2 linked regions of the Lepisosteus oculatus genome follow. The protein of the gene in region 2 interacts with the protein of the main gene of each other region in a biochemical or structural test. Links are inferred from orthologs where the notes say so. Each region holds a gene or a part of one and is shown on either strand. Other genes may lie near its edges.

Region 1 (7,718 bases), on a different chromosome or scaffold from region 2:
CCAGTAGTCAACTTAGATAGGTCACGAAGAATTAGCCTTTATAAAGTTTTGAGATATGAATCAAATATGTAAATGTGAAATTTAAATCCCACGTTTTCAACATGTATTTTAACGGTTACTCTGTATATTAAACATTAAAGGGCACTTTTTTTTCCCTTCCCAATTTTTTAATTAAAAAAATATAACCTTACAAAAATGGTTCATTACCACTTCAAACCTAATAATAATCCTAAACCGGTGTAATGTACCCGCCTGAGGTAACACTTCAAAGCCCTTCATGTATGAAAGATGTACACACCCTGATATTTAAGGTATGATCCACTTTTTTCCTATCCCACTTTAAAATCTATATTACCACTGAAAACATTGAGCTATAATTTTAGTGTAGCTTACCAAACACCATTTAATTGCATTAAAAGTGCATTTTAATACCACACGTAGAACCCAGGGCCTGGTACAGCTCAAGAAAAGGGAGTGAATTACACTTCAGACGATATAATGAGGATTCAGATGAGTACAATACTTACAATTATCTAACAAAAAATCTTAAAGCACAATTAATACGTCAACAGTAAAACTCAAAGGATACAAATTAAAATACCAACAACCCCAATACACCCACTTCACAATACAAGCACAGTCCTATCACATGTAATTTCTATTGAAGATGTGAATCTCTGCTGAAGGGACTAGGGTAGAAAAATATGAAAAATTAACCTATGAAAACGTCCTTTAAACTAAACCACCACAGCAAGTCATAAAACAATTCAAATTAAAATAAAATCTGACCCGTTTTAAAGTTCCTCAGACCCATCAATAGAATTTCTTGGCCAGAAGACTTGCTGTGCTAATAGCGGGATGCAGAGCTCGGACACCTGCCATCAGGCCCCTGTGTAGCCCACCCAGTGGTGCCCTCGCTCACTGCTGCCCCGTTCCAGTCCTGCTCCTCTATCAACGTGCTGCTCAATCCCCACAGCGTCGGTCAGCCAAACGAAACTGCTGCATCACGTATTGATCTGTGGGAGGCCTGGGTAGGCGATCTGCTGCAACGGGCCGACGACGCCCTCAACAGCCCAGCCTCCCAGCTGCAGATCAGCACGGCCCTGGGACCAGAACTCGGGACTGGCAGCTTCTCTGCTGGACTGGGACTAAGGGCAGCATCGCTCTACTCAAAACACACGACCTCACCAAACACCTCGGTCCCCTGCCAGCCACTGCATGTCTTCCCCAGCCTCTCTCCACATCCCACGCCGAAGGATCAGGGGGAACTCCCACCTTGTGGGGGCGTTCTCCCCCTGCCCTTCTCCAGCAGGGCCACGGATGAGAAATGAAATGAAACCAGGACGGGACTGCATGCTCACCCCACCCCTCTTGCTGCACTACACATTCCTATTAATAATCACCTGACCTCACCCCACCGCGGCGCGCCTGCGAGCGGGCCCCCGGGGTCCGGGGACCCGGCTGGGAGCTGGGAAGGTGATCTGAAGGTAAAGCGGGCAGCGGCGGCGGGTCTCACCAGAACATCGTTGCAGATCTCCCGCAGCTCGGACTCCACCTTCTCCCGGTACTCCTTGACCATCTGCAGCTTCTTGTCGCTGCCCTCGGTCTTCTGCTCGATGCTGGAGATGACCCTCCAGGCGGACCTGCGGGCACCCACCACGTTCTTGTAGGCCACGGACAGCAGGTTCCTCTCCTCGTTGGACAGCTCGGCCCCCTGCTCGGTCACCTCCTTCATGGACGCGGCCATGTCGTCGTAGCGCTCGGCCTGCTCCGCCAGCTTGGCCTTCTGGATCAGCTCCGTTTTATCCATCGCGTCCGCTTCCGATCGTGCGTGTGTGGGAGGGGGAGTGGGGCTGAGGGCAGGATATTCTCTTCGAGGCGCAGTGTTTCAGGACGGGCCGGGTGACCAGCTGCGGGCTGGGGGGGGGGAACCGGGATCGCCGGAGAGCCTGAGCGCTGTCGGTGGTGTCGATGGCCGGGGACGGGGGGACGCGGGGCAAGCAGGTGAGCAGACAGCAGTCGTGCAGGCGACGTCCTGTGGGAAGCCTGCGAGCCGAACGGGAAAGAGGTGGGCAACTGAGGCTGAGCTGCACGCAAGCTACACGCACACACGTCGCGCAAGCATCGAGCCCAAATCCGTGCGCGTCGATCGTACGGTTGTCAAGAAACCCGTCGGGCTGAATCGAGACTGCACGTCTCCAGGCTGACGAGAGACCACCAAAGGACCTGCCATCTTTTTTTTCTCTCTCTCTCTCTCCAGTACTTCTAACGTGACCCAGGGGCGGGGAGGCTGTATCCAACGCGCACACACGCAGGTCCCGTCTCCCTTGAAGAGCAGGGAAACGGGCGGCGGTCAGTCTCCCCCTCCCGGGGCTCGGCAAAGGTTTGCTTTCGGAACAAGCAGCAGCAGCGAGCACCACCCGGAGAGACACGACATCGTACTCCGCTACCCACCCCGGCAATTTGGCAATAATGGCCAGGAAATTCCCCCCGTGTCTTAAGAGGCGATTTCGCCATTGTGTCAGCGCCCAGCTCAAAAAGCGAGACGACACTCGGGTCTCCCCGCCACCGCTGCTCCTTAGCGTTTCGACCCCATTCACGAACCACGCAGGCAGTTATCCGAATAACTCCGCGTTTAAACACAGATTTAGATAAAATGGCGGCTCCTATGAGCCGAAAACCAATTCCCGAGACAGTCTTTTTTTTCTCCCCTTGTGTGACAAAATGGATGCGGCAAACCCGAACCGCCATACACGCCAGGTCCGATATACCACACGGTTATCGGGTTCAATAAACGCAAGCCCTTCAACAAACGGCACATTCACGTCGCTTCCCCCAGCACAACCCTCCTTACTGCGCCCCTAAAATACGAGGGAAGCAGCGCCAAACCTCCGCTTACCTCCGTACCGCTCCTCCGAGCTGATCCGCTTTAGGGCTGAAGAGAGGAAAGGAGCCCAGCCGCCAGTCTCAACCGAGCACGAGAGCCGAGGCGGGGCCAGGCGAGCGCGAGCCCCAATGAGAGAGTGAGTCCCGCACCGCTCGACCGTTACAGTTCAAAAATGCTCGCCAGTAGCACCGCAGCGCGCGGAAGAAGGCGGGCTTTAAATGGGCAAGTTCGACTGGCCTGTAGGCTGCGGCTGGGGCCACGGGGTTTCCTCCAATTAGAGCAAGGGAGAAGACGTCACCATTGCCATGGTTATCCAGCACCCCCCCTCCTCCTCCTCCTCCTCCTACTCCACCACCGCTGAATGTAGCACTACTGTAGTGACAGTCGGCATCAGTGAGGCCCGGGAGCGGGCGTGGTGGATGAGTGTGTCTCACTCAGAGGCTGGCGGCACTCATCTCTTGCAAGCGGGGAGCCAGCCAAAAGCCCCCCTGTGGACCCTCTGACCATGCCCACCCCTATGATTGTAGCTTCGCGTATTTCATTCCCCCGGCTTTGAATGAATAGATGAGCGGTACCATATTTATTCAAAATAAGAGGGCGCTCAGTCGAGCGAGGGGAGACGTGAGAGGGGTGGACCGCCGGTGGTATTTATACTATAATCATTTATATCGCATACCTGTTCAGAACGAAAACGGGGGGGGATGCGTTTCAAGATATTTGAACATTTCCTCCGGACGGATATTTAAGGAGGACGTGTCCGGTGACATTCGAATACAAAATTTGGGATTACAATTCTTAAACCCTAAATTATCGGAAAGTAGGTTTCAAATGACGTTTAAGCAAGGAGCTGTCATATTCTCACGATTCCATGAAATACAAGGATGGTAGCAGGTAAAATCCCAAATCTGGCCTCAAGACCAGGGTGCAGTAAGTTTGGTGGGACTCCAATGTCCTGTGACAAACAATACAGTACTTCCTAATCATAAACACTGTGGTTTGAGGGAGTTTCGCTCAAGGAGGTAACTTTCAAAAATATATTTACATTTTCTTTGCCGCGTTGTAGCTGTTTGGTGAGAAATGATCATGCTAAATAACAGATAATAGGAACAATACATTTGTATTATAGTTGTAATAAAGTTGGTCTCACAGAAACTCTACGCCAGTCCGAGGGAGTCATTTCCGGTGCTAATCCTACAGGGACATCCCCACCAGTTTATACAGAATAATAGTCAAGGATCCAGAATCTTCCCCAGTTTGAAAACTCATGGCTTAAAGCATTTCTGCTATGGTCTGAAGGTCTGCCTACGAGGATTTCCAGTAGTGTGATTAATAGCTTGTTCCAGGATCTGTGGAGTTATTGTGTGACACAGCCGAACTGAGAATATCGTCAGCACTTTTTTTCCTGCGGAGAAGGTGGCACCTGCAGCAGCACAATGGCAGTTGAGCACAACTGACTTTTATTCAGCGCTTCACCCTCTCTGGATTAGACGCTGTTAGACGCCCACCCTCCCCCTCGTGAGCCCTCCCATGCCATAAAGGAAAACTGTCATCTGATATTTCCTCACCTGTGCTCAGCTCCGAGTCGGACGTTAATCATTAGCCCTGCTCGAGATCTAAATTACACTCCTAGCTGTTGGCCGAGCAGGAATCTTGACCAATCCCAAAACACCAGTGTGGGGACAGGATAAAGCTTGTTTTCACGTGCGCCAGACCTGCCCTTCGACTCCTCGTCGACAAAGGAGCACCTGGGGTGTAAGAAGAAGTGGACCGATGAGGCATGTTTTAAATATCCTGTTTCTTACAGTGCTGGATTCAGATCAGGTTGCTGCCATTACAGATCCAATTGTCCTCCAAACATTTTGTAGTCTAAACAAAAAGCTACAATTTAAAAGCTGCCTTTAGCTTTAGCTGAGGAAGGGTGAGATGCGTGTTGGAGGTATGATAACTAATACTTTTGCAAACAAGTTGAACTGAACTGTTTGAAAAGCCTGTGACGCACAGCCTCAGAATGAGACCCAGGAGGTCCCGTTGGTTTTGATAATCACATTGCAGAACAGTTTGATTAAACGCTCTCCCCTTGACCCACGCGTCACGATAGCTCAGTCTGTAGGCACAGAGCTCCAGAATAATCACTGCACTTGTTGCTTAAAACAAAATGGTGATTGCCTTCCTTATAGGAACATCTGAAGAAACCAAGCTGCAGATTTCAGATTTGCTGCCATTTCCTCTGCAGGAACAGTACACAGATGAATAACACTATGAAATTAATCTTAATAACTCATGTTTTATTGGTATATGAGAATGGTGTTTAATTGGGCTTTATGATTTCATTTATTGTGAGCCATTCAGCAAGACATCCTGTGTTCCCCAGTGTCCCTGTCAAACAGTATGCACAGGTGGTAGAGAAAACTGTGATTTTCTGTTTAATAAGACTAACATAATTTTTTTAACAGAACATCCATTTTGTAGTGATTTATGGGAATAAAAGTCTCTTGGCAACCGTAAAAAGGGATGATTAAAGGTTTGCCAACCCCTTTCTAATATGCAGGTATTGCTTGTATAAACCTCCATTTCTGTTAGTTTTATTCCTGACTTCAGAGGAGATAGAAAGAAAGAGAACTTCCTAAGAATCACAACTCTGGTTCCTTGGTAGTAAGCACTGCTTGATGTGTAAAATGTTCATTTTAGGGGCTTCATGATTCTGAGCAAGGCTCAGTCAGCCCTATGTACCTCAGTGAGATGTGCTGCTGTTCTCTTGACATCAGTCCAAGCATTCCCTTTCCAAACTACATTCATAATATTGCTGGCAGAGGCCCTTTTGATTACAGATAAGCATATTTAGAAATGCTTTGCCTGACAGAGAACTTTGACTCCTATTCAGTGAACTCTGTATGCAAAACTCTGTATCTTGGAAGATTCAAATGGTGCTTTATAAAATGCTAGATTTTGACAAAAGGATTTAGATGGCAGGCACACTTTCCCAACCTTCCACACTCATTATGATTTAGCCCACGTGGATTAACTGGTAAGACTCTTCATCTTTGGAGGAAGAAAAACGTCAGAACTGTCTTATAGGCAGCCATGGTGAGGGTTATGAAGACTGAAACTCCTTTGATCTCCCTATTGTTAGATGAGGCAGGAGGTTCTCCTCTTGACAGTGGCAAAATGAAATGGTAAAATTCAAAATCACAAACTGACTGTCATTGGTAAAGGCCAATGGCGAATTTGGCCAGGACACTGGGGTAATACCCCTACTGTTTTCAAGAAACCCTGAGATTTTTAATGACCACAGAGGGTCAGGACCTCAGTTTTATGTCTCATCCAAAGGAAGGTGCTTTTTTACAGTATAGTGCCCATCACTATACTGGGGCATTAGGACCCACATGGACCACAGGGTGAGCACCCCCTACTGGCCCCACTAACACCTCTTCCAGCAGCAACTTTAGTTTTTCCCAGGAGGTCTCCCATCCAGGGACTGACCAGGCTCACACTTGCTGAGCTTCAGTGGGCTGCCAGTTGTGAGTTGCAGGGTGATGTGGCTGCTGGTAGGCAGCTAGGGCTGTTGGAGGTGCAAAAACTCTAGATGGGGCAATCGTGTGGTAACCTCAAGCCAGGTACAGTATGTCACAAGGTAAGCAAGGTAAAATTCCAGGCTGTATAAACTTTGTTCGTGTGGGCTACAGGTGTCAGTCAAATAATAAAAATAAGTTGTGGGGTGCGTATTTCGTGAGTCTTCAAGTTCGGATTCGCCAGCTGCCAGGAGGTGGCGATTTGTGCTGCCACGATCCAACATGAACTCCTGCCACCCTCTGGTGAGAGGCCTTTTTTCCATTTTGCTCTCAGAGAGGTCGCCCCTTTTAGAGAGCCATTATATTTTTACCGTCAAACCGAAGCAAAGGGGCATTCATCCACTCAGACGACCGTCTTTAAAAAAATCTGAAAAGGAGCAGCGCTGATACCAACAAAGACCTCTTCCTCTTAAGTTATTACCATAGCAGTGCGCAGCCATGGCAACCTCAAGTGAGTGGAGCACTGCAATGCTTTGTACGTACTTTCCACAGCGCAGTGATATGAGTGTCACAGACACAGCAGTACCAAAGGCAGAGACATAAGAATCAATGCGTCCACGTTTAGTTTCAGATTCGTTTGTAAAGGATCAGGGTTTGGTTTGCAGAACACATAGCGAGGAAAAAAAAAAAGCTATCTCGGCGATTTTCTGATCCTGGCAGCCGGTTAGTAGGCAGAGGAACAAATGGCATTCCCGTAGGATGGGTGAAAAACACACCGTTCCCACTCTCCTGCAACATGTGCTTGGCCGGTCTTTTTGCAACTGTAGTGCTTCGCTCTGAAACATGAACATGGCCAAGGCACCCTTCAGGTGAGAGGCGCAGAAAAGGAATGTCTATTTACCCAACATCATGGTGGCCCTAAAGGCTTGTGTAGCGGACCTAGTTCGGATACGGTGACGTCATCGTCCCTCACTGCGCGTAGCGGGGACCTCAGCCGTCTGGGCTGGGGGAGGTCTCCTTTAGCTCATGCGGCTGGTTCCCTGTTGTGTTATGCTGGAGCCCTGGGTTCGCTCCCCAGGCGTTGCAGGACGGAATGGGGTGGCAGAGGGCATGAGGCCGTGCGGAACCACAACAGTCACACTTGCACACATAAAGACAGCAGACCTTGTGACCTAAACCAAAGATTAATCCATCCGTCCATCTATTTTCTGACCGCTTTGTTTCCTATCTGGGGTTGCGGGGGAGCCTATCCCAGCGAGCAACAGGCAGAAGGCAGGACACACCCGGAATGGGCCAGCAATCCACACATTGACGCAACAAAC
Region 2 (7,131 bases):
CAAAATACACAAAGTCTGTGTAAAAATGCTTTAGGAATTGTTCAATATGGTACCAGCTTTTAATTGAGTTACATGTATACTAATTCATTAAAAAAAAGAGAGAGACAGCAAAAGGCCCCTGGTTTTTCTAACCATACAGATCACATTCTAAAACCAAAAGGCTGTTATTCTCCAGTGTCTTGTTTTTTTTTAGCTAATTTTGTTTTAAATGTCCCCGTACCCCCCACCCCACCCCAATGTTTACTGTGCTAGACTGGCATAAGCCCAAACTTCTGATAGGATGTGAGACACACTACAGCAGACATTAGAGTCTATTATTAAACAGCAGTAAATGTTCATTATCTGCCTGAACGTAAAATTGATCCGCAATATCCTCAAATAGGTTTCAATTGTTATCCTAAACTATAAAAAGTAAATCACCTATTCCCAAAATGAAGTCATTATTTAAAGTCATACCCTTGTGCCAAGCTGTGTAAGGGATATAAAACATTTGTGTGGTGCCTGGAATTCATGAGTAACAAGTACTCTGGACTCCAAACAAGGCTGGCGTTAAATCCATAGCCAGTCATTATACAGCTGAGATCTTTGCCACAGTATCACACAATAAAACATTTAACAGCTCAATTCTCCTATACGGTGCGACATTCTCCACTGACTATACCGTTGCTTTTCTCACCTGTTCTTGGTTGTCTTTGGATGTCAACGCACAAAGAAAACGAGCTTTCATGAGGCTGTTTTTTATATACTTCAAAACCAGCTTTACGACATCCAATCGGAACAGCATATCCAATCTGTGAGAACAAGCTTGTGACTTTTATAAATAAAAGTTTTGTGTTGGCATGCCATTCGTTGAAAGACCTGCCGAGATAACTGTGCAAATCGATTAACACACTTTCAGTGCTCTGACAGCATAATTTATTTGAACATGGTGAACTCTACTTAAAAGAAGTGACTTTCAGTGTTGGAGCTATCTTTTTCAGAATAAAGGACAGGAAGGCGATGGTTAATTCAAACCACATTTTAAACGAAGTGGAGTAATTGTTTATTTAAAAAAAACAACTGTGATTAAAATAAATTTACAGCAGTAATTTGTAGAAGCCTATTTTCCCCAAGAACAGTCACATTTAATCCTGGTTCAACAGAGCGGGCTTTTCTCAGTTTTTGACATGGGACTGCAATAAAGACACCTAGAAAAAACGCAGACACAATGGCCCTCCAGGACCAGGACTCGATATGTAAAAGTTAGGATTTCCTCAATATTTGTTTTTTTTTTCTCTGGGCCAACACCGAATCAAACACCCACACCACAAAACACTGTCCTCAAGATGTTACAGTCATTCTGCAGACGGTCGATGAAAACGGGACTTTTTGCTGTACTGTTGCAGCTCCTGTGTAATGAGAAGGGCAGTAAATCTTATTTGCTCCTTACTTTTCAGAAATGTCGGGAGAGAAATATTTAACATATACTTGTCATTTCAACATTGACGAAATAAAGTTACGGGTCATCCCCATGGGCCACGTATAAATACACTTTATTTACCAATGTACTGCGCATCTCAAAGCAAATCGCCCAAATAAAAAATTAAGAGGGCTGAATACAAAGAACTGAAGTGTTCTTAGCCCACGAGTATCAATCAAACTTTCATTCATTCGTAAACTGTAGTCTGCGATCCGTGCTCAGTAACGTGATTCTAGAGCCGAGAGACAGCAACATGCTGCTGGCTACCTTATTGTAAGTTTTGGCACGTCCTACGATGCGCATAGTTACAGAATTTTTCTACAGATTTCCACAGTTGCTGTGTACAGCCAACATTGTCCTTCGCATGGGTTACCGTTACACGAAAAGGTACCTGCCATTTCTTAATGCATACCACAGACATGAAGGGATTCATGAAATCATACTTTTCCGTTGGTGCACATCACTGTAACGCTTTTGTTAAGACTACAGTCTGGCGGTGCGTGATCATTTCAGTACAGCCAGCAGTACACTGAAAACAGCCCAAATTCCATGTAAAAACTCCCCTTACTTTACGGTTGATAAACGCCTTGTATTCTCAATGTAAAGTGAAGAATTCGAAAAAACTGTACTGTATACATAATAAGATTTCAATTTAATAATCTTATTGAAAATAAGGACACTTTCCAAATGATTAATAGACCTTAAAACGCCTTTTTTTTCTCCATAAGACAACGTCTTAAAGCAACAATGATACACATCAAGGAGGTTATTATACTGTATGTGCACCAAATTGTAACTACCTGGTTGCTGTACAGACGCACAAAAATATTATTGTACCCTGATCCTTACAATCTGGGAGGGACAGCAGATTAAAAACAACCTACCCTCATTCACAAAAAAATACCGATGCACACTTTCAAAACCGCCCACTCAAATCATCCTTAATATGACTGGTTATTACAGATTTCCCCCCTTTTGGTTGCGAGCATTGATTGGCAAAGGTCTGTGTCAATCATTAAATCTGAGCAGTTACGCCCTCTCGATCCACCAGGAACACAACTCGTATTGTCATAGGCCAGACGGACGGCCAATTACGCGAATGAATCGCCAGACCGCCCAAACATGACGCCTATAGGCCGGCGTCTCTGTCCATCTTCCACTATCTGAGGCTCTTACCTGACACAGATTGGTCGATGTTCATTAACGACCGTTAAAATACCACCCATTCTCCCAAACATTCATGTTCGGTAGAACGGTAGCGATTCAGAAAAAAAAAATGTTGAACGTGAGTGCGACCAACTTAAATACGGTACAAAACACAGTTAAGATACTGCATACCTACCCACAGGCACACATTGTTTTGCTTTTTTTAATACAAACTTGTCACTCAGTGCTTGCTGTGAGCAGAGGCACTTGAAGAGGAGAACGCTACTTTGAATCAATGCTCACCTACCTGCCCCGGGAGGCGGTCACTCCAGTCTGAAAAAAGTAATGTATTTAATTCCCGTTGGAGAGTGCGCCAGCGAAGGAGTCACTCACTGACAGATTCCGCCATACTGGATTTTGGCAAGGGGGATCACGTGTCGCGCTCCTGCATTTGAGTGCGAGGCGGAGCTTAATCCCTACAGTGTCTGAAGACATCAGGCAGTGTTGCAGTAGGTGGTGTACTTTATTGTACCAGCGTTATTAATGTGCTCTTTGAGTGTTTATTGCTTATGTCTTGGTTTTCTCAAAATCACACGGTCATTGAAAGCAATTTTCTCAAAATATAAGAACGTCCCTACGTTTTTTCATACCACATTTCAGAGGATTATTTCTCAAAATAATTGGCGTTTGTTAGTTTTAAACGGGTTTCTAGAAACTAACATCTTTTTTGAATACCTGTGTAAAGCGGTTATTAGTTCTGAGCATAAGCTTAATTATGCATGTTTACTGACTTTATATAATAGGTTGCATTTTTACGATACGTTTTTTTTGCTTAAATGTTCTAAGTTTTTAGCAGGGTATAGAAGTAAACACAAATGAAACACTAAAAGAGCAAAGGATAAATACTTGCTACATCATTTAATACTGTAGTGTTTGTATTGTAACGAAATGTTCCAAGAGAAGAAACCAATCAGCCATTCCATCTTGGTTATTTGGGTGCTAGAAGCTTTTAACTCCCTGCATTCATATAGCCTTTTTCATCCTAAAGAGTTGTAAACATAGGAGTGGGATCCTCTTCATTCACCGCTGAAATGCAGTATTCACCCAAGAGATGCTGCTACAATAAATCAATGCTGCTATTCAATACATTTAGTGTCTGTACATCTAGTTCTTGTTGAATCATATTCCAGAATTCCACAATTGTACAGTTTGTTCCAGACTCCCCCCAACACTTCTAGGAAAGTGCTTCCCCAATTTCAATGCTAAATGTACTCCTTCTCAGAAGCACTTGTTTCAAAGTAGTCATCTACTGTAGGTCAGATTTATTTATTCCTACCATATTTACTAATCCTTGACTATGCCATCTACTGATAATCAAGCCCTGGATCTCAGAAAAAGTCTGAATCCTTCCCCCCTACTCCCGCTCTTAAACAAACGAGTTCTGGGATCAACTTTAAACCCAGAATATTATCAACAATCCCAACCCCACCACCACCACCACCACCATCAACATAACCCAGGTAAGTCAAGGAATAACCAGAAAATGACCATAATAGATGCAGAAAGCCAGAACAGAAGCTGTAATATAATTATATATAAAAATGCAAGTTATAATAAAATCTAAAGAGGCACGGGTAATAATGTCACCACACAGAAACCACATTGGACTCAAAGATAAAATACTGTACAAGTCATCTAATATCCCTGAAATTAGACATGTTCCCCTACTTAATCTATGGTGGTGTAGCAAAGATTATAAAAACAAACATAAGGGAGAAGCCCACAATGAAGCCTCTAATCCAGGTTGATTCTCTAACCTGTAATAGGGGCCACCGCCACTATCAATGGCTCAATGTCCCTAAACAGCCACTTGGCTATAAAAAGATTGGGAATAGTTCCGTCAGCCCCATGCCAAAATCAACAGGATCACTTAGACTCACTCCACCTATGTCAGGACAGATACTCTCACAAGATATTTCTGCTTGTTGGTGAACTGTATGTAACCCAACTTAACCTTGACTAATAACAGGCAACAGTTCCAATTAATTTGACCCATGAATTATCCAACTGTCCTTTGTGTTTCAAAGTATACAAAAACATCCTGGCTGAAAGGCAATGAAATATATAAAAAGCAGTCAGAGTAAAAACAAAATCCAGAATTTGCAATTATACCCCAATACTCTAGTTCCATTCACCATCTTAAATCACATTTCTAGTCACCTGCCCTGCTAATTACTCCAGGTTATTATAGCCAACATTCCCTTCTAACAAATCACTATAAATCTCCCAATTTCCCACTCTTTCTCTCAATACCCAAACCGAATCAATCCCTAATCCATTTACTCCAGCCATCTAATGATTGCAATCTGACCCTTGGAAACTTCAGGGACTTCAGTACTGTACTTTACACCCAATTTTCAAAAAAACAACAACATTGAATTCAAATGTATAAGCCCTGCACAAAACAAGGTGCATAAATCCATGACTAAAAAAATAAACAAACAACTACAAAAGTCTTTAGTGGCAATGGAATGGAGCATTTGGATCATGTCCTCTTGTAGTCTTTCTGTTGCACCATCAACCTGTTCAGCAAATTACAATCACCACCCTGCCATTTCAATGCAAGAACATCACCTTAGAGCCTAAGATGTATTTTCTCCAGCCTCTAGGTCACTGTGACCCAAAAGGCCTCTTAACTTAATCAGCCCATTGCCACTGAAACCTCCCTTTGGAACTCTCACTCTGTTTCCTACCAACCTGAAATCTAGACCCACACTGAGACCCTTTTCTTACTGACTGTTCTTCTACACCTCTCAATTAGTCCAGGGGCGTGGCCACCTCCACACAGAGCCTTTCCTATTTCCCTCACTTTCTCTCTCTGAATGATAATTACTCAATTAGTTCAGGTGGGTAGATGTGTCAGCATGCTTAGGCTGTAAAGGAACAAGTAATAGGTTTATTCCATGCTGAAAAAAAGAAGAAAAAACACAATGTTTTGGCCGTGGAGCCTTCTTCAGGTGAAATTATTGATACTCTCAAACCTATTAAAATACTGTATATCTAACATTTTTCAGATTAAACCAACCCTATCTAAATCCATGTGGATTCAGTTTGTTATACTGGACATATTTATTAACAGTCAACATGACCTTCCAATGTAGATTTTATTTTTTCCTAACCTTGCAAAAAGAGATATAAACGTCGCTGGCATAAAGTCTCTGGTTCAGTGTTCAGCCTTTCCTCTGAATGTATGCATCATCTGCATTTTTTCACTGGGAACACGAGTCATTTGAAATATCCCAGTTAAGGGTACCTGTCACATTCTTTATTTCCTGAAAGACTTATGGACCTGGTCATCAGGTCCAGCCAATTAGTTAACTCTACAGAGAGTTAAGATTATTCAAAACCAAATGGAGCCTAAGGGATGCTGAGCTCTCTTCAGTGAAAACATTTGGTCAATATACCAGTACTTGTTGTTCCTTTTTCATTGTCTACAATTAACAGACTTTCAGTAGTGAAAAAAAAAACTCTTTGTGTTAGTTTTAGCTCCCAGTGCATATTCTTCTCCATTTCTCTCAGCTGTTCTGATGTCAGATTTGACAAATGCAAGCCCCTCACTGTATTATGTTTCTATTGGTCCTGGTTTAAATTAAATGTAATTTTAAAGTGAATTTGTTCTCCCTTAATAATTTGTGCTTTGGGGCTTCCAACATGAAGATATCTTCCACAGAGGAATAATAACCTTTTGATAACCTTCATCCATACACAAATGTTCACTTACAGTACATAATGTTCAGACCACTTGTTGTAAGGACATCAGAAATCTACTAATCAATTTTTGTTTGATAAAGGAGACAGACTCTTCTTTTCAAACATGTTTCTGAATGTGGCATAATCAGAGAGAATAGAAGAGGAAACCCATATACAAAACTGAGCAAAGCCCCACCTATCAAACAAGATATTGTATGATCTCTAATACTCCTACATGAGTTATACGAATATATGCAAGTGCCAATACCCATGTAACATGGCTCCAAGTGTAAAGGAGTAACAATAGATCAATATAAGAATTGCAGTGAAGAGCAATTGTGTACCACTTCTTTTCAGATTTGTATTTGTTCACCATTATGATAGATTTGAATTGAGCATTAAAACATATGACCATCCATTCAATTCTGAAACCGTTAACCTGAAATTTACAATCCATCATTTCCACTGTGTCATTTTCAGGTTTGGACCTTTCAACTTACAGAAAGCATCCTTGTTAAACAAAATACTATCATATAATGAGGCATTTAAGTGTAACCATAGAACATGTAAGAATCAGAATTTCACACCATTGTATAAAACAAAAGATGCCTGGCCTCACAATATAACATTTGCATATGTTTTGCTTGGGGGAAGGAAGAAAAATGAAGTGCTCCATTATTTTTGGATGTTGCATTGTGTTCAAGAAACAAGAAAGAAATATTAAGTTTGATATTGTTTGTTAATTTTACTTTTAATCCATGTCCTGGTCATTTTCC

Evidence for each region.
Region 1: the proteins of hdac4 (region 2) and 14-3-3 protein theta are reported together in a solved structure, tested with the Homo sapiens proteins (2 studies listed by BioGRID, with this or other methods). The link is inferred for Lepisosteus oculatus from reciprocal best matches to the Homo sapiens genes HDAC4 and YWHAQ.

What each region holds. Positions count from the first base shown.
Region 1 is NC_090697.1:11,938,711-11,946,428, reverse strand, and holds the start of 14-3-3 protein theta, read right to left. Parts: upstream 3,008-7,718; 5' UTR 2,900-3,007; intron 2,047-2,899; 5' UTR 1,811-2,046; coding exon 1,517-1,810; intron 1-1,516. UniProt on the Homo sapiens protein: Adapter protein implicated in the regulation of a large spectrum of both general and specialized signaling pathways. Binds to a large number of partners, usually by recognition of a phosphoserine or phosphothreonine motif.
Region 2 is NC_090707.1:21,979,227-21,986,357, forward strand, and holds the start of hdac4 (histone deacetylase 4), read right to left. Parts: upstream 3,007-7,131; 5' UTR 2,909-3,006; intron 1-2,908. UniProt on the Homo sapiens protein: Responsible for the deacetylation of lysine residues on the N-terminal part of the core histones (H2A, H2B, H3 and H4).